Linked DNA regions of Canis lupus familiaris. The protein of the gene in region 1 purifies or fractionates together with the protein of each later gene. This does not show direct contact. Links are inferred from orthologs where the notes say so. Each region holds a gene or a part of one and is shown in the gene's direction. Other genes may lie near its edges.

Region 1 (4,586 bases):
CTTTGATGTGTTGTACTCCTTCTATTGGGGTCCTACATCTACACATATCATTCAACCTTCACAGTCTCCTTTGAGGGGTAATATTATCCCATTTTACTGATGAAGAACCTGAGATATTGAAGGGTTACATAGCTTGCCAAGGTGGCTTATGTGGTGTAAGGGGCAGAGCTAGTCAGTTTGAAACCCAGACACATCTGATGTTGATTATGCTCTCCCTTGGTTTATAATTATTTGTTCCTCCATGGTTCAAGCTAGTAGAGCCTAAGACCCTAGGGGTCCCACTTACATACTCTTCAGATGGGAAGACAGGCCCAGATAGGGGCCAAATCTAGCCTAAGGTAAGGGAGGGAAGGGAAGGTGCAAAATCAGGACTCAAAGCAAAAACTGACCAGTGGTGCCCTCTGGAAGCCTTGAGGACCCTTGAAAATTATTCTTTGCCCCTGTCTCCCAACCAGGTTGTTAGAAATGCTGCAAGAGGGATCCCTGGGTGGTTCAAGCGGTTTAGCACCTGCCTTGGGCCCAGGGTGTGATCCTAGAGATCGGGGATCGAGTTCCACATCAGGCTCCTTGCATGGAGCCTGCTTCTCCCTCTGCCTGTGTCTCTGCCTCTCTCTCTCTCTCTCTCTCTGTCTCTCATGAATAAAAAAATTAAAAAAAAATAAATAAAATCTTTTTAAAAATGCTGCAAGAACATACTCAGGAGTTTACAGTGGACTGAGCTCTGGGGAGTCAGGAAATTGGGGTTTAAGCTCTTGGCTTTTGGGCAGCTCATTGCCCTTCTGAAGTCTCAATATCTGTGTATATAAAATGGGCCACTTATTGGGAGACTCGAAAGAGACAAAGGTTGGCAAGGTAAGTAGGTTGTAAACCTACCAACTGGCTAGAAGTGATAGACCAAGGCTCATTCTGGGCTCTGGAGCCAGACTCCTTAGGCTCAGATTGTTTTTATTGCTTAAATAGCCTGTCACCTGGGTGCTTGGGTGGCTCACTCAGTTGAGCATCCCACTCTTGATTTCAGCTCAGGTCTTGATCTCTGAGTTTTGAGTTTAAGCCCCCCATTGAGCTCCATGCTCTACGTGGAGATAGATAGATAGATAGATAGATAGATAGATGATAAGTAAAATAAATGGCCTGTCACCGTGAAATTTCTATGCCTCAGTTTCCTCATACATGAAATGGGAGTAATAACAGCACCTATTAAATAGAGTTGTAAGATATCAAGCACTCAGAACAGTCACTGACACATAGTGATCATGCAGTAACGCTGCCTTTTATAACAGGTTCACTGTCGAAGGCGTGCCTATCCTCGAAGCGCGACCGCAGGGACCTCCCCCCGGCGGCCCCCCCCCCCCCCCCCCCGCAGGCCCGGTCCCCAGTCCCCCGACTCGGGCCCGCCTTCTCCTCACCCCGTCCCGCTCCAGCTGTCCTGGGTTCCCTCCCGCCACCAGGGGGCGGCGGCGCTGAGGGGGAGGGGTGTGGCGCTTCTAGCCGCAGCAGGCGACACTCTAGGGAGCAGCGGCCGCTGCTCTATGGCCAGTGGCGGCGGCGCTCTAGCCGGCGAGTGTGCGAGGCGGGCTCTCAGTGGTGCGGCCGGCAGGCGGCTATGGCGGCCGTACGGGGCCTGCGAGTGTCGGTGAAGGCAGAGGCCCCGGCGGGGCCGGCCCTGGGGCTCCCGTCGCCTCAGGCGGACTCTGGTTTGGAGCGTGGCGAGCCGGAGCCCATGGAGGTGGAGGAGGGCGAGCTGGAGATTGTGCCGGTGCGGCGCTCCCTGAAGGAGCTGATCCCGGTACGGGCTGGGGGCGGGGGCGAGGAGGAGGTCGCCGAGCTGGGGCCCCCGGGGCCCGGCGGCCGGAAGGGGAGGAGGCCGGCGCCGGGGCCGGGGAAGTCGGGGGAAAGGGAAAGAGGGGAGGGAGCGCCCAGGGGGCGGAGGCGCCGGGCTCGGGGAGAGACGGGGAGCGGGAGAAGGGGCGCCGGGCGCCCGGAAATAGGTGTGGAGGGGCTGGAGATGGGGGAGCCTGGGGGTGCTGAGGACACCCCCTTTGCCGCCTCCGAGCCAGGCTGTGCAGGGGCGGCGGGCAGGGCGGGCTGGGGCTGTCTGGGGGCGCGAGGTGAATCACGGTGGGGCCCCGGGCCGGGACGCCGGCGTCAGAGTCTCCGGTGGAGCTCCTGTTGGTTCAGCGGAGCGCTCGCGGCTCCTCTTGGAGGGTCGGACTTGTCAGCTGCAGAAACTTCGGGTTTCTTTTGTGACTTGAGAGTCCTCCCGGCCCCATTCTCCTTGCTCTGTAGCACCTACACCTGGCCGCAAACACGTGACCCTTAGTGAGACCCAAACAAGCGAACCAGCGGGGGCGGGGCGTGCTCCGTCTCTTAGCACCTAGCGGGGGAGTGAGAGGGGCTTTGCTTTTGGTTCGGTGGTCCTGTGTTGGGTTCTGAGGCCTGATCTCGGGCCTGCATGGCTCTTATGTATGTACTCGGTTTCTCGTCTGACATGAACCCCTTTTTTACCATGTCAGCAAAGTCTGGCTTTTTAAACCGAAATTGTGGGAAAAGGGAAAGAAGATGGGATCACTAAAGACAGTAAACGATAAAGGACCCTAGTAACAACAGTTAACATGGTGGCTTTTTACCATTTACTACGTTACGTTGTTTAAGTATCACTGTAGTTGTGAAGTAGATCGCATCCTTTATTCGTTCGGTGCAACATGTGGTTACCGCATCCCTACTATGTGCCAGGCACAATGTAGGCACTCGTCAAGATCAAGATCAAAGTCTTCCCTGGCGTTTATGTTTTAGTTGGAAGACACAAATAAAGAATTTCTAATAGTGGTAAGTGCTTTGAAGAAAGTAAAACACGTTAACGGGACAGGAGTGCAGAAGACAGGGAAGGTGTGCAGAGCAAGAAGCCAAATGGTAGGGGATGGTCAGGGAGGTGGTTTCAGATACTGACATTTAAGCTGAACCCTGACTGACAAAAAGGAGCCAACCACGTGCAGAACATATTCCCAGCAGGGGCGACAGCAGGTGCAAAGGCTCTGAGATGGGAACAAAATTGTTTTGTTGGAGAAATGGTAAGTTCCGTAGAGCAAATGGGAGAGCCGTTAAAGAGGTCAGGAAGGTAGGCAGATACTGTGGAGGAAACCCAGGCCCGGAGAGGTGAAAGGAATTGTACAGTGTTGTGTAATTAGTGAATCTCAGAGCTGTGACTTCAGTCTTCGGCTTCCAAATCCCATCCTCTTTTCATTGCACTGTGCTGTGTTTTCCCAGGAGGTCTAGGTGAGTCTGGAGTTTCTGCATTTTGGTGAAGACTTGTGCTCCACCTGGTGGCCTGATACGATGAATTTGTCCTATGTGGGCTGGGGAGATGAGTGAGTGTGCCTTACTTAACTTGGACCTTTTTCATGAAAGCCTGTATATTTTCATTTACATAAATACCTTAAGCAGATGGATTTGGTTAAGGTTTGGGACAGGATCTGATCTAGAAAAGACTTTTTGTTAGAGTGGTTGATTGCTTACTACCCGAAGTTACTGAGACACACTTCCTCATAATAAAGGGTTGTCAGAGTGAGGAAGGATTGCTGAAAGGAATGACTATCCAAAAGGAATCTGTTGCAGGGCTGTCTATTATTATGTGTTTTTCTTCAGTTTTTTTTTTTTTTTTTTTTAAGATTTTATTTACTTATTCATGAGAGACAGAGAGAGAGAGGCAGAGACACAGGCAGAGGGAGAAGCAGGCTCCATCCAGGGAGCCTGATGTGGGACTCGATCCCGGGACTCCAGGATCAGGCCCTGGGCTGAAGGCGGCGCTAAAGCGCTGAGCCACCGGGCTGCCCCTTCTTCAGTTCTCTTAGCATTTCTTAATCTTTCTCCGTGCGTTAGGACACAAGCAGAAGATATGAAAACAAGGCTGGTAGCTTCATCACCGGAATTGATGTTACCTCCAAGGTAAGACACCATAATTTATTTATTCATTTTGATAAGCAGGTGAACTTAATGGATGTGGCCCCTAGAACTTGTGAAACACCAGTTACTCTTTACCTCCTTTTTTCTTTTGTTGTTTGACTAAAACTTTTTTTTTTTTTAAGATTTTATTTATTCATTAGAGACACAGAGAAGCAGAGACCTAGGCAGAGGGAGAGCAGGCTTCCTGTGGGGAGCCCGATGTGGGACTCGATCCTGACCCCAGGATCACGCTGTGAGCCCAAGGCAGATGCTCAACTGCTGAGCCACCCAGGCGTCCCCATTTTTTTTAACTTAAATTTTGGATTACACAATGATGTGTTCATTCATCCTGAAAACATACAGGCAGCATTTGTGTTCTTATATTATGAAAAGGTAAAATCCATGTACCTAGTTGCCTGTGCTTAACCATATCTAAGAAAAAGTTCTGTACTGGGAATGCTTTTTTTTATGCTATGTCTATGCTTTAAAAATGTGTATGCTGTGTCCACTTTAATGAAACAAAACATGAAAAATACTTGGCATATAGTAGGCTATTAGTATAAATGTCTTTATTCTTCACTGGTTGCAGGCTTAGAAAAATAGAGTTTCCTGATTCTGTGGCTGTCTAAACTTTGAAAGCCAAGTCA
Region 2 (4,867 bases), about 46 Mb from region 1:
AAAAATAAAAAAAGAAAATACACTCAAGCATTTCTACTTCACCAGAACGTGATGGGACAGAGGTGAGACAAAAACCACCAGAGAGGTCTGATAAAACCTGGCGGTGGGCACTCTGTGGCGTGACACAACCACTTTGCTGAAAGGTCAGATGCCTTGAAAAACGAGGGAGAGGAATGGAAGCGCCTGTTCTATATTCACGTTCAACAGCCAGGGCAGGGCTGAGCGAGCACACGCACGGACACCTGAGACAACGTGAGCAAGCACCAGGAATGGGGGGACACTGAGGGCTTATCGTCACGTCCGGTGTGACAGTGCTACACTTAGTGACTGGGCTGGAGGGGAGCCGGGCCCCAGAAGCCACTTCCAAGCCAGGACGTGAACACAGCCCTTAGCAGCGCTTAGCAGCGACGGTGGGCGCTGGCCGAGGGGACGGGCACCCCCACGACAGCCTGCGTGCCCGCTGGAGAATCGTCCCGTGGCGCTCCAGCGTCCCCCGGCCCACGGGCGTCACGGCTGACTGTGAGCACAGTAAAAAGCCACACGGCCCTCTCTTACAGAACTTTCCATGGGCTCCTCACACAATCATGGGCCCAAACCACCTGCCTTTCTTCTGTCAGCTTGTGTTGAGCAGAGTGACCCCAAAACCCAAGCACCTTGCGCAGGTGTTTCCGAGGAGATGCCCTGGCCAGGCCCGCAGGCAAAGCTCGAGGGGGAGGGAGCACAGGGCACACTCACAGTCTGGGCAGCAGCCATTAAAGGCCATCCGGCAGATGCCACAGTTCTCGTCGTTGGCCACCCAGAGCCAAGTAGCCACGCCGTTCCAGCACTTGATCTTCACCTTCATGGCCGCGGAGCCTACAGGGGGAGGAGACATCGCCGGGCCACACTCAGTCTGCACAGCTACCCATCTAGGCACCCAAGGGGCGCGGCTCCCAGCCGAGGGTCAGCCGGGGCCGGACCTGCTGCCAGAGCTCAGAAACCCTGAGAGCTCTGCACCAGCGGCAATGGCAGGGCCCGGGCCACCCTTGGGAGAACAGCGCGCCCCAGAGCCAGAGTTATCGGCGAAGACTGCAGGGTCCGCCCTGCGTCCCCAAAAGGGCACATGGGCTTCGCCAGTAATTCCAAAAACGTACCATACGGGTTTTTTTCAAAGAGATACGACTAAATCGGGGTTGACAAATAGAGACCCCAACCCAGGTGACCACGAGTTCACGCCAGGGAACCACCACCCAGCCCACTAGGCCTGCGCCACCACCCCAGGGTGAGGGTGCAGAGTGGGGGGTGCCGGGCAGGACCCGGGGTTGCGGGGGAAGGGGTGAGGGCAGGAGCATGCAGAAGGAGTGCGCAGAGGCCAGGAGAAAGTGAGGTGCAGGGAGGGACCAGGGTGTGTGGAGAGTGGGATGTGGGGAAGCGGTGGGGGGGGAAGGGCGGAGCGGAAGGCGCAGGGGTGCGAGCAAAGAGTAGGGGAAGGGGTAGGGGTGTGGGGAGAGGGTGGGGTAAGGAGCGGGGGTGCCTGAAGGGGGTAGGGAAGGCGCCGGGGTGCGGGGAGAGGGCAGGGGAGACGCAGGGGTGCGGAGGGAGGCGCAGGAAGTGGTGGGGGAGGTGCGGGAGCGCGGGGAGGGCGCGAGGCCGGGGCGCGGGGAGGGGGGGGGGAGGGGAGGGGAGCCGCCCGCCCCGCCCCGCGGCCCCGCCCACCTGCGCCCCCCGCCGGCCTCCGCGCGCCGACCCCGCCTTCCGTCGGCGGCGCCCGCGTGGGAAGGTATAAAAGCGGCCGCGGCCGCCGCCGGCACCTCAGCTGCGCCCGCCGAGCCCGCCGTCCGGCGCACGCGCCCCCGCTCCCGCCCGCCCTGCCCGCCCTCGCTCCCGCCCGCCGCGGCCAATCCCCGGCGGCCCCGGCCTCGGTCCCGGCAGGCCGCGCGCGGCCCCGGAAGTGACGCGCCGACGTGCTGACGCGCGGGCTCGAGCCGAGGCCGACTCCGCGCCCGCCATGGCCGACAAAATGGACATGTCTCTGGACGACATCATCAAGCTGAACCGGAGCCAGCGAGGCGGCCGCGGCGGAGGTCGGGGCCGCGGCCGGGCCGGCTCCCAGGGCGGCCGCGGTGGCGGGGCGCAGGCCGCCGCGCGAGTGAGCCGGGGCGGCGGGCCCATCCGGAACCGACCGGCCCTCGCCCGCGGCGCGGCGGGCGGCGGCGGCAGGAACCGGCCGGCGCCCTACAGCAGGGTGAGCGGGGCGGCGGGCCGGCGGGCGGGGGCGCGCGGGGGCGCGGGCGGCGGGCCGGGGGGCTCGGGCCGGGCGGGCGGGGGGGCGCGCGGCGGCCGCCCGGGGCGGCGGAGACCCTCCGGGCCTTTGTCTGGGCCGGGCGCTGGGCCTCGTGGCGGCGGCGGGCGTTGGGCGCGGCCGCGCAGGCGGCGGGAAGCGGGTCGGAGGGAGCGGCGGCGCCCGGGACGCCGGGGGGACGGCGGGCGGGGGCGTGCGGGCGCCGCAGGGTCCGCGGGAGACGCTCACGGGCCGCGTGCTCCTGTGCTCTCCTCCCCCCGCAGCCGAAACAACTTCCCGACAAGTGGCAGCACGATCTCTTCGACAGCGGCTTCGGGGGCGGCGCCGGCGTGGAGACGGGTGGGAAACTGCTGGTGTCCAACCTGGATTTCGGAGTGTCGGACGCGGATATTCAGGTGAGGGGCGGGCGTTCGTCGGTGAGCGGGTCACCCGCACCCGGTGGCCCCGTTGAGGACGCGGCCTGAACCGCCCGCGCCGCACCTTAGGGCGGGGAGCCCTAGGGGCCCAGGGGCAGCCGCCGGCCCTCTAAGGGCTGCAGGAGTGCAGAGCGGAGGTCCTGGCCCGGGAAGTGCGGCCGGCAGGTCGGGGTGTCGGAGGTCGGGCCCGGCCTAGCGGGACGAGCTGCCGCTCTTCCTGAGTCGTGCCCCGCGCGGGGGCGCAAACCCCCTGCCGGAGCCCTCGCTCCTGGCGGGAAACCTCGACCTAACCTGAGCGGTTTCTGTTCCTGCCTCGCTTAGGATCTGCGTTTTGTTTACTTTGTGCTTCTTTTAACGGTTTGCTGGGAGGACAGAGATCTTTTTCTGTGGAAGCCTACGGGCAAAGCACAGACGCAGGACGGCGCTGGGCATGCTTTTGTTCCGCTGGCCTTGAGCCCCCGGCTCCATGTCGTACAGGACCTATATCCTGTCTTTCTTCCCCTCTTTTTAGTGGCATGATTCTCAATCCCGACTTTGGTTGAAGCTTCTTTGTTTTCTTTTTGTTGCTGTTGTTGTTGTTTTGGTTTTTGGGGTCTTTTGGTTTTGTTTTTTTGGGGTGTTTTTGTTCTTTTGGGTTTTTTTGTTTGTTTGGATTCCAAAAGCATATAAACTTGTTTTTTGATTAAGTAAAGACATTTTGGGGATCAGTCCCAGAGATGGCTGGGTCAGGGTGCTGGGCCTTCCTGGGTTCAACTTCCCCAGAGCCCAGCTGTTTGACTACCGTGGGAGGACAGAGCAAGGCCGGTGAGCACTCACGGTGTCTCAACACTTTTTTTAAGGTGGTTTCTGGCATCCACTGGAAACCGCTTTTGGTGAACTCCACTTCCCGCTGTGTGCCTGCGGCCGGAGTAGCCCCACACTCTGGGTTCCCTCTCCAACTCCCAGCCTGCCTGAGGTCAGGGCAGTTTCCATGGCAGCGCTTGACTTCAGCCTTTGCGGCAGGCTTGAGTAGGAGGAGAGGGAAAGGTGAGCCAGAATCTGCCCTGGGGGAGGGGCTGGGTCAGGGCTCCCGAATCGACGGGCCCTGTGAGCTGGTGTCCACATGTCGGATAGCATCCCTTGCTCTGTGATCTTGGCCTTTGCGGTTTCTTGGTACAGTCCTTGGGTGTGTTGTCAGTTTTCCTCTGTTGAAGAAGATAGCGACTTAATCTTGTTCCCTTCACTGGCGGGTTCTGTGGTCCTTTACCTGCATCCTGGTACTGATGTAAGGTCCCCACACTGGCAGGAGCCCTCAGACCCAGCTGCTCCGGGAAGTGGCTGTCCCATCTGCCCCTCCCTCCCCGTGGTTTCCACTACCAGTGCCCTGCCCCAATACGTGTCTGCCTCCCAGGGAAATAACCCCCCCTCAGCAGCTCACCCTCCCAGGGACTGTCCTGGGCCACAGGAAGGGAAGCACCTCACTAACAGCTGCTCTTTCCGGCCCCCAGGAACTCTTTGCTGAATTCGGAACTCTGAAGAAGGCAGCTGTACACTATGACCGCTCCGGGCGCAGTTTAGGAACAGCCGATGTGCACTTTGAACGGAAGGCAGATGCCCTAAAAGCTATGAAACAGTACAACGGCGTCCCTCTGGATGGTGCGTCTGAGGTTGGACCCGGATGCTAGAGGGGCTGCGTCTCGTGGAGTCGGGCTGGCCGCTATCCGTGCAGGAGTATGGCTTACCCCTGTGGCTGAGGACACTTTGCATTCGCCCCTTTGTCTCTCTCTTCCATTCCGCCACCTCTCATGCTGCCCCACACATCCGGACCAACCTCTTGTGAACCCCCATCCAGCAAGCTACACCCTCCCCTCCTTCAGCTCCTTCCGGAAGACTCACTTCTGTGAAGCCTTCTCAGAACCGCCATAGTACACCTCTGAGTGCGGGGCTGTAGTCGTAAAGACAAAGGTACCGGTTCTTCTTCCGTCAGGCCACCCACACCTTTCCACCCATGAGCACCCCGGACACCTGACCAGACACCCAGCTAACTGGACTGAGAAGGAGCGAGGAGGTTTTGGTGGGGTTGTCATTGGCACCATCTCGTTCTCCCACCAGTAGTGCTCGGCCACTCCCCTTGTTGGGAGCATTTGGAGACACAGCCCCTTTCCAGTGCTTGCATGGAGACCGGGGTGTG
Region 3 (4,655 bases), on another chromosome or scaffold:
CAGAGGACCTCCCGTCCTGCTGTCTTGGTTTTCTCTCAGATCTGGGAGGACTCTGGGGGTTCGTGCTTAGCTCAGACAAGGGGAAGCTGAAGGATGACAGTGTTCTGAGGTCTTGTTGCTCTGCCCAGACCCTTCCCACCTTCCCTGTTCACCCCATCCCTTGTGCTGGAAGCAATTTTTAGTTTCTCTGAATGAAGAACAGCAACCTTCTATGTCTTCTCACATTTCCCCCTAAGATTCTTCATCTCAAGGCCACCAGTCTCCAGTTATCACCATGGAAGGCCTCAGTTAAGCTTTAGTTGCACAAAATGTAATGTGTCCAGTGGTTAGAGATGAGCTAGCCAGGCCTGGCTCTCTGGAATTCCCTGGTCTCCACTGGGCCACCTACTGGTTGTAAAGTCTGAGCCAAGTCCCTCCTGTCAGGGAAAAGCCTAAAACTGCCTCAAGAAGTAAAAGGGAAAACCTTCAATTTAGCACCGTCAGGACGAGGTCCTTCATATTCCACTTAGAAAGGCTGGGAAAGAGGATGGGAGCTGGGAATAATCTGGGTCACAAAATTGGACATGTACCTAGAAGGTAGAACAGAATTCAGAATTTGGATTTGAACTGCAGAATTTGGAAAACGGAAACAGGAAAATAGAATAGAGGTTACAGAAGACCACCAGAGGAGAGGTTCCTAAAACAAGGACAGTTGGAAAGAGGCCCATCTCTCCCAATATAAGATTGAGAACTTGACTGTGTAGTTTCAGCCCTTCTGTGTAGGGAGTCTCCTGCCCTTTTTTTTTTCATTCCTGCAGGTGAAGGAAAAGGCTGGGGCCTATTTCCTTCACCATGCATTCCTTTCTCTCCTCATATTCTATCAGCCCAACCCGCATTCTACTGGGCCACTGGGTATGTGGCATGGGGTCAGTGACTTTGGGAGCCTCCTTGGTGATCCCTACACCTCATGAACCTCTAGGTCGCTTGATTCTGTTTCCCTTTCAGGAAAACTTGTAGTGGAGTCACTGATGGAACCAATTAAATATTTACTATAAACCATGATGTCTTTTCTTCATCTGCAAGGAATTCTATCAGGTGCTAGAGGCAGGGCCAGTTTCCTGGTTCCACCTGATTTACTCTGCCCATCCCCACTCTACCCCTGAGGGTAGAGTGTTCCCTGAGGATCTGGGAGGGCCTACCCCCATGGCAGAAGGCATTCAGGACATCGGTGTTACTACCTCCAGATAAGTGGAATTTACACCAAAAGTCTTGAACTCTACCTGTAGAAGTCATACCAGGGGTGGAAGAACACTTGAAGCTGTCAAATGCCGCATAAGAGTTGTGACTCTGCCCATGGCAAATCGAATAGAAACTATTGATGTGGAAAGAAACGAGTTTAGGAGAATGAATGCCTTTCCCAGACTTGCTGCCCTCCGAAGTGTGGGATGTTTGGGTGATTATGACATTGGTTAAGAATACAGGTTATGAAGACAAATCCACAAGGGTTCATATCTTGGCACTACCACTCTCTCGGGTTACCTCGGGCACACGACGAACCCATTCACTCGGCTAACGCTAGGCAGAGCGCTTGTTGGCTGCTGAATGTAGCTGTAGGCGCTGAGGAAAGACTAAACGAGGCTAATCTGCCCTTCCAGCCTCGGTTTCTTGGTGTTGGAGGACAGCCTGAGGGTGTTGGCAGCTGGGACCCGCCCTGAGAACCCCGGAGCCACAGCAGCTGTTCCCGCGCCGCCCAGCTGTTGCCGGGACCACGCGTCAGCCGCCGTCTCGGACCTCCGCGTCTCGCTTCCGGCCTCCGCGCCTCGCTTCCGGCCAGCCGCTCTATTCTTCCGCTTCTCTATGGTGTACAGGAAGAAGTCTGTCTGCCGCCGGAAGCGGCTCGCTGCCACCGCGGGTTCGGGACTCCGAGCTGTGAGTAGGGCGCCGGGGATGCGGGGCTTGCCGGAGGGGCGGGGCGGGGCTGGGCGTTCCGGGGTCGAGGTGCAGACGTCCCCAAGCTGGGGGCCGAGTCGAGTTCTCGGTGCTCACGCTCCGGGGTCTCCAGCCGCTCGGCGCCGCCTGATTAATCTCTTCAGGTGAAAATGTCGGGCTGCAGCTGCGTCGGGCCCGGCATGGGAGCCTGTAGGTGCCGATGATGTCGATGTCGGAGGTGGTGGTGGTAACAGCTCACATTTATTGTGTGCTTGCTTACGTGTGCCAGGCTCTCTCTACTGGGTTTCCGAAGTCAGGATTTCCCACATTTCAGCCTTTCGCGTCCCACCTTCGTGGATTTTGCCCAGTCAATTTACTGTTTAAGACTCTGCTAAAGGTTTTTTTTTTTTTTTTTTTTTTTTTTTTATTTATGATAGTCACACACAGAGAGAGAGAGAGAGGCAGAGGGAGAAGCAGGTTCCATGCACCGGGAGCCTGATGTGGGATTCGATCCCGGGTCTCCAGGATCACGCCCTGGGCCAAAGGCAGGCGCCAAACCACTGCGCCACCCAGGGATCCCTCTGCTAAAGGTTTTTAATCGAGTCGCCTTTTACTTCTTAAACGTGAATTTCCTTTAAGAGAAATTTTAATGTTTCTCCCCTAAATGGAGACTTGTCCTATGCAGAAGGTAATGATAAAATTAATATGTTTAACATGAAAACATTGTTGATTTTGGCTAGATTTCATTGTCTAAGGCTCTGAGAGTCCTTTTGTTAACAAAGGAACATTGGTGTTCATAGACGTTAAAGACAAACTAGGGAAATGAAATGTTCTCCTTGAAGCAATTGGAGGTTTCTCAAAAGAATTGAAAAGGGATTAACTTTCTCCATAGGTGTTCAGCATTATTTCAGATCGCCCATGTACCATCTAAAGCCCCACGCCTAGGTCATCTTCATCACCTTCCCCAGTAGAGTGCCTCCTGTGTCAATGTCCACAGCAACCCCTGAGGTAAGGACTGTTATTCTCATTTGATCTGTGCGGAAGCAGGCCCAGGACTCCCAGCGGTAGAATGGTAGAGTGGAGACTCCAACTGGGCTTCTGTAACTACCATGAGCCATTGGTTCCTTCAGTAAATCTTGGGGAGAGATTTGTTGGGCTACGGGGGATTGTGCTGCCACCTCGGGGCTGTGGTGACAACCAGAAAACGTAGCAGGGGGAGGATGCTTTGTGACCCTAAAGCCCCATGAAAAGTAGGTTTTATTCTTTTAAATCTTAGGGCCATCTGGAGAGTTGATGGCATTGCCGGGTAAGGTGGTAGCAAGACACACTGGTGTCACAATAATATAGTTGTTGAGAGCACTATTGTGGCATTAGATGGACCCAAGCTTAAGCATACTAGCTGTGTGACTTTCGGCACCTCATTCACCTTTCTAAACTTCAGTGTTCTCAACCATAAAATGGTACTTGTTCTATCTGAAAGGTTTCTTACAAGGATTAAGTGAGAACATACCCTTAAAGTACTTAAATCAGGTCCAGCACACAGTGATCGATCGATAGTATTGGGACCAGGTATATATGCTAGGCTGAGGAGTTTAGTCAGGGATGTGGTTGTGGTGCCTTTAAAGCGGATGGAGCTGGAGAAGATGAGTTTGTTTGGGTCAGGCTGAGGGATGATTCCTCCCTTTTCTTTGAGAGGGACAGCTCCGAGTGTGGATGGGGGGAGGGTGGTGCAGAGGAAGAGAATCAACTCCACTCCTAGCACAGAACCCAATGCAGGGCTTGAACTTAGAACCCTGAGATCAAGTGTCAGCCACTTAACCAGCTGAGCCTGGGCATCTCATTCTCCTTTTTAATTTTTTTTAAAGATTATATACATTCATTGGAGAGGGAGAGTGCATGAGCGGGGAGGAGGGGCAGAGGGAGAGGGAGAAGCAGATTCCCCACTGAGTAGGGAGCCCAGTGTGGGGCTCCATCCCAGGACCTGGGAACCCTGGGACCATGACCTGAGCTGAAGGCAGGGCCTTAACTGACTGAGCCACCCAGGCAGCCCTCCCCATTTTTACAGAGGATTAAACAGGCTTTGGAGGGTTCAGTGACTTTTTTTTTTTTTTTTTTTTTTTTTTGAGTTACCAAGGGCGTAAGTAACCAGAACTACTAGTTAGATTTCAGTATTCTGACTCCAGGAAAATCTTTAACTCTAAAAAATCTTAAGTTTCCTCTTTTTAACAGGTCTTTGCTGTTTCCTTCTGACCTCACCAAACAACCATGTCATCAGAATCGAGCAAAAAACGGAAGCCCAAAGTGATCCGAAGTGATGGAGCTCCAGCTGAGGGGAAGCGTAACCGATCTGACACAGAGCAGGTGAGATCAGCCAGGGCTGCCACACTGCTAAGAAATTACAGCTTGTGGCCAGGCACCTGTCTATGAGTTTGCAGCAGCTGAGGATCACAGGGACAGCCTCCCAGGTAACCTGTGCTTGACCAGGTGCCTGGAATTCCCTTGGTTCTGCAAACCTGAGTATTCACATCTGGTTTAGTTATAGCATCCCAAGAACCAACAAGCCTATATTAGGCATGAACAGTCCTGAACAGAGAATGCATTCTTGTATGGTGTATGTCTCTAATTTTCCTGATGGTCAGAAGAAGCCAGTATCTGTAGCATACCACTGGGATTGGGATCCCTCGTCTGCTGCTAAGACAGTACCAAAACAACATCCCCACAAAATCTCTTCTGTAGCCTGAGAGCAC
Region 4 (4,854 bases), on another chromosome or scaffold:
GCCATTCTGTAATAAAGATTTCAGATGTTTTTAAGGGAGGATGATGGTGCAATGAGGATTTACTGTGCCTTTCTGTTCATTTTTGAAGAATCCATAATAATGAAAAATGAAAAAAATCAGCGAGCATATCTTTGAACCTCCTTGAAATGGCATAGGGTCTTTACGAACAGATTTCACTGAAACTAAACGGTGTGTATTTTCTAATTAGTGGCTTTAGGACTTCAAAATCAGACAGGACGTTAGGAGACTAGAAATAGCTGATGAAAAACAATCATGAACAATGTAGTATTTTCCCAGAACTTATTCTGAATACAGCCTATCCCTCCAACATCTTTTCAATGCAAATGAACCTGATCCATTTGGTGAAAACTGCCAAATTTAGAAGGTACTAGTTCTAAAGTTCATACTTTAATATATGTGTGATAAGGTTTCCTTCTTTGGTTTGCCTATGCTTTCTAAAATTTCTGCCAAACCCGTATTTTAAAAAACCTAAAAAAAATATTTTATTTATTTATTCATGAGAGACACAGAGAGAGAGAGAGGCAGAGACACAGGCAGAGGGAGAAGCAGGTTCCATGCAAGGAGCCCGATGTGGGACTCGATCCTGGGCCTCCAGGATCACACCCCAGGCTGCAGGCAGCGCTAAACTGCTGCGCCACTGGGGCTGCCCTAAAAAACTTTTTTATTTTGAAAAGTTGCACAAATAGAACAGAAAGTCCCTGCATGTCCTTCACTTAGACTCCTAGCATGTTAATATTTTACATTTTCTTAATCATCCTAGGGTTTTCTTCTGAGACATTTTAGAGTAAGTTGCAACATAATGTCCTATTACCTCTCAGTACTCCAGCGAGTATTTTCTTAAACAAGGACTTTCACATTAACCATAGTACAAGTATAAAAAAAACAAGAAATTTACATTGGTAGAATATCGTTAGTCTACAGATATTCAAATTTTGTCAATTGTCCCAATAATGCCCTTAGCAAAGGAAAAATGATCTTTTTCTGGCTGGGGATCCGTTGTCCTGTCTGTTGTTTCTACTCATCCGGAGGAGTTCCTCAATATGTCTAGATTGTCTTTAGTGACTTTGATGATTTTGAAGAGTGCAAGCCAGTAATTTTGTAGACTGTCCCTCTATGGGTTTGTTTGATGTTCCCTCACGATTGAATTCAGGTTCTGCGAATTTCCGTGTCATGAATGCTACAAAATTGGTTAGTGCTTTTCTTACCACCTTATCAGGAGGCAAATGATGCCCATTCCCGGGTGTGCTGAGTTTTCATCATAATTGGGACGGTGTCCGCCATATTTTCCCACCATAGTTCCTATTTCGCCTTGGAAATAGTATTTTGTCGGGAGATACTTCGAGACTCTGTAATGTAAACAAGTTGTTTCTTATGGTAATTGCGCCCCCTAGTTTTGTCTAAGGTTACGGAGACAGAGGCTGATTACAGTAGGGTGTCAGCGCTGATGGCGGCAAGTGTTTCCAGGGGTCAGTTTCTGCTTGTATCCCTTGTATTAGCATGTCTAGCACATAGTAAATGGCTGCTTATTTTCTGATGAATTTCTTTGATCTCAGCAGTTAGTAGCGTGTATTGTAAATTGATCTTATGTTAGTTTTTCCCACAGACTGTGAGCTCCTTGAGGGTAGGCACAATGACTTAGTGCTTCTCTGTCCCCAGTGTCTAGCACACACTAGGTGCTTGAAAAATACATGTTTGAATTAGTGGCCTGGAGTAGATACTACCGAAGAGGACAAGGGCTATGTGTCGGTCTGGGGAAGGCATTCTTCCTGTTCTAAAGGGAAGCCAGAGCAAGGGTTGTAGAGGGCGCGGTCGGCGTAGTCACGGCCAAGGACCCACGGGTCTCAGCCACCTGGTTGGAGGCCAGGCCTCGGGTTTCCGCGGGTGGGGAAGAAAGTGGGGCGGGAAACCGAAAACCGAACTCGCAGCTCCCGGCATTCCCCGTGGGCGGTGCTCCCCTTTGACCCCTCGCTCGCGTGCTACACATCCGGGCCTCTGCTACTAGTGAGGGGAAGATGGCGGCCGCAACTGTGGTGGTTCCCGTAGAGTGGATAAAGAACTGGGAGAAATCAGGGAGAGGCGAATTGTGAGTGTCCGGGCTGGAGGCGGGCGCACGGCCGGGCCGGGCCCGGGCGTCAGCCGTGCTCTCCCTTGTGGGGAGAGGTTGTGGGGGGAAGATGTGCCCCCTCCCCCATCCGGGCGGCGGGTGTGGAGGGTTGGCTAGGAGTTTCGAACTCGGGGAGGAGAGGTGCTGGTAACCGCCGCCGACCTCCTTCCTTCTCTGGCCTCTCCAAAATCCTCGTTGCCCGCCGTAGGCTGTCTTCCTTTAGTGTCTTAGCAGAACTCCCGTTTCGCCCCTGCGGGTCTACGCGCTCCCGCTCCGTCTTTTTGTCCCCCTCTTCGCTTGAGCTCACTTGGCTCCTTTCTCTTTACGGGGCCGCGCCGGGAGGGGGGGTTCGGACTTTACATCTTTGTGTCCCATTTCTTCACTCTGCACCCGTTCGACTCTGCAGTTTGGAGCCCGACGCCTCCTTTGCCCGAAGTCCGAGGAGGGCGAACCGTCCCGACTCCCTCCCCTCCTCTCCGCCCGCTGCCGCGATGCCCGGGGCGTCGCGAAGAGCCCCGGTTGGCACGTCTCGTCCTCCCGGGGAGCGGTCTTTCGGATTGTCCCGGCCTCGCGCGGCGCCGCTGGCCGTGGGAGAAGTGTAGCTGGGATTGCCGCTTTCCCACGAAGACCTACCGGCATTTCTTTGCTCCGGCTTTTCACTTTAGAGCCATTTCGGTTTTGATTCAACTTTCGTCATTAAATGTTTCTTAAACCCCATTTTGTCCTGGGACTGCAACTAATTTTGGCGACTCTCAGGGTTCTCAAGTACCTGGAATAACGCGTTCCCTTTAGTCATAAAACTTGTTTTTTTCCCCTGGTAATACAGAAAACAGTAATTTGCCATACCCGCGGTTTCCTCGCCCCAAATTTCAGTTCGCGCTCCCTCGGAAAGAAAGGAATCGTTTAAGCAGTAAAACCCCAGATTCAAAAACAAAGAATTTATTTCTAATTTCGTTCTCTGAATCGCTTTATTAACCAAAGCTCAACGCTGTATGAGCTAACTCTCGTTAGCCATTTTTGCGGTCGGCCGCCCCCTCCCCCCATAGTTTACGGTTGCTCGCGCGAAAGATAACGAATCTTTGGAACTTCGTTACTTCGAACGAAACCCGGGGAATGCGTTGCCCGATCTTGCGCGTGTGATATTGCCAGCTTGTATGGACTCCTCCTTCTCCCCTCCCGCGCCCTCCCTCCCCCCGGCTCCACGCGCACTCGCACTCGCGCTGCTTTACCAAGTCTTAACTGTGTGAGCTCTAGAATTGTATTTCCTGGATAAGCGGCGGTCTTAGCCACTTAACTAGCTGAGTGACCTTGGGTAAGTTCCTTAACCACTTTGACCGTTTCCCCTTGAGTAAATTGGGATTAATAAGTACTCTATTCAAAGGATTGTTGTGAAGACTAAATAATACCTGTAAAGCACTTGGCTTATAGTAAGTGCTCAAGTGATAGCTATTAAAAGTAATATTATTATTCCAATCTTTAGATATTTAAACTTCTCTGGACAGCTCTTGCTCTTAAAGTCTGTACCACTCAGGTTAGCAATTAATTGGTCTTTGACTTACTGCTGCATACTCTTGTACTCTAACGAATTGAGAGACCCTTGAAGAGTGGGGACTATGTTTCATATTTAGTTTGGTCGCCCCTCCCACGCCGTCCCCCCACTGCAGGCCCCAGCTCCCGCCTCACTCCCCCTCGCCTTTCTAGCATATGCTTGGAGTGAGAGCTTTTTGGTTTATTAAATGAGATGTCTATTTGATAAACATTCATTTTTAACTGTTAGGAACATTTTCCAGATCCTTGTACATGCCATTTAACAAATTAAGCTATTAAGTTCCTTGTGTGCAGGGAAGGCAGAACGGGAGGTTACCTAAACCATCGTTTTCATCTATATTAGATTAGGATAACCTCCCCAAACTGATAAATCAGTTCACTATTTTGTTTACTTATTTAGGGCCTGTCATCTTCATAGATTGCTCAGCTTCCTTGTTACATCTGTTTTTGACAGTTTTATTATTGCTTTTACCTTAGAATGAGTGGTATTAGGGCTAGGAGGTGAAAATCTGAATTCTGATTGGCTTCTTGGCAGTGGTTGGAGAAAAATAGTGATGTAGGAGGTTGAAATACGTTGTCAAAATGAGATTTTGGATACACTGTGTGTATATTTGCATAATCCATGCTATGTGTATTGTTCCTGAAGAGCTTTTTCAAAACTGTTAGGGCTTATTTGTATGTAGTTACTCCATGACGTGAGGAATGTTGTTTGAATTATAGTAGATCCAAATCAGTGTAGTTTTATAATTGTATTCTGTTATATGAAGAGAGCATAAGGTGGTCAGTTGTATGACATAATCGGATATTTTAAATAGACAAACACATCATCATCCAGTACTTAGGCTTCATTTATTTGACTCCTTTCCCCTCTTTGAAAACTTGGTTGCATGTAGTCTAACTTCAGAGTTCTTGTATCTAGCATTTCATTTTATTAGAATGAATGGGGTTGTAAATATATTACCCAAAATCTTTTCCTTTGTCTGAAAACAGAGCTTCTTAAATATAAACTAGCAACTAGAAATGTTAAAAAATGAAGTTAATGTGCCAACAGATAATTAGCAAATCCATTTATAGATTTGGCTTTTAGAATAGGACCAATATTGTAAAATACACAAGAAAGGTGAACATTCCAAAGAATTAGAGTACAGAGAACTCTCAATGGTTTCACTTGCAGACATATT

What was found. Proteins that work in one complex are often made in the same cells at the same time.
Region 2: the proteins of NCBP3 (region 1) and ALYREF purify together in Homo sapiens (affinity purification with mass spectrometry; 4 studies listed by BioGRID and IntAct, with this or other methods). This does not show direct contact. The link is inferred for Canis lupus familiaris from reciprocal best matches to the Homo sapiens genes NCBP3 and ALYREF.
Region 3: the proteins of NCBP3 (region 1) and THOC5 purify together in Homo sapiens (co-immunoprecipitation; 3 studies listed by BioGRID and IntAct, with this or other methods). This does not show direct contact. The link is inferred for Canis lupus familiaris from reciprocal best matches to the Homo sapiens genes NCBP3 and THOC5.
Region 4: the proteins of NCBP3 (region 1) and THOC2 purify together in Homo sapiens (co-immunoprecipitation; 3 studies listed by BioGRID and IntAct, with this or other methods). This does not show direct contact. The link is inferred for Canis lupus familiaris from reciprocal best matches to the Homo sapiens genes NCBP3 and THOC2.

What each region holds. Positions count from the first base shown.
Region 1 is NC_049230.1:47,600,573-47,605,158, reverse strand, and holds the start of NCBP3 (nuclear cap-binding protein subunit 3), read left to right. Parts: upstream 1-1,561; 5' UTR 1,562-1,603; coding exon 1,604-1,786; intron 1,787-3,264; exon of another isoform or gene 3,265-3,365; intron 3,366-3,876; coding exon 3,877-3,942; intron 3,943-4,586. UniProt on the Homo sapiens protein: Associates with NCBP1/CBP80 to form an alternative cap-binding complex (CBC) which plays a key role in mRNA export. NCBP3 serves as adapter protein linking the capped RNAs (m7GpppG-capped RNA) to NCBP1/CBP80.
Region 2 is NC_049230.1:1,220,871-1,225,737, forward strand, and holds the start of ALYREF (THO complex subunit 4), read left to right. Parts: upstream 1-1,972; 5' UTR 1,973-1,987; coding exon 1,988-2,224; intron 2,225-2,544; coding exon 2,545-2,676; intron 2,677-4,184; coding exon 4,185-4,332; intron 4,333-4,867. Other genes in the region: ANAPC11 (anaphase-promoting complex subunit 11), read right to left, coding at 736-844. UniProt on the Homo sapiens protein: Functions as an mRNA export adapter; component of the transcription/export (TREX) complex which is thought to couple mRNA transcription, processing and nuclear export, and specifically associates with spliced mRNA and not with unspliced pre-mRNA.
Region 3 is NC_049247.1:23,188,814-23,193,468, reverse strand, and holds the start of THOC5 (THO complex subunit 5 homolog), read left to right. Parts: upstream 1-1,760; 5' UTR 1,761-1,908; intron 1,909-2,053; exon of another isoform or gene 2,054-2,072; intron 2,073-2,800; 5' UTR 2,801-2,916; intron 2,917-4,137; 5' UTR 4,138-4,173; coding exon 4,174-4,269; intron 4,270-4,655. UniProt on the Homo sapiens protein: Component of the THO subcomplex of the TREX complex which is thought to couple mRNA transcription, processing and nuclear export, and which specifically associates with spliced mRNA and not with unspliced pre-mRNA.
Region 4 is NC_049260.1:95,958,865-95,963,718, reverse strand, and holds the start of THOC2 (THO complex subunit 2), read left to right. Parts: upstream 1-1,959; 5' UTR 1,960-2,033; coding exon 2,034-2,104; intron 2,105-4,854. UniProt on the Homo sapiens protein: Component of the THO subcomplex of the TREX complex which is thought to couple mRNA transcription, processing and nuclear export, and which specifically associates with spliced mRNA and not with unspliced pre-mRNA.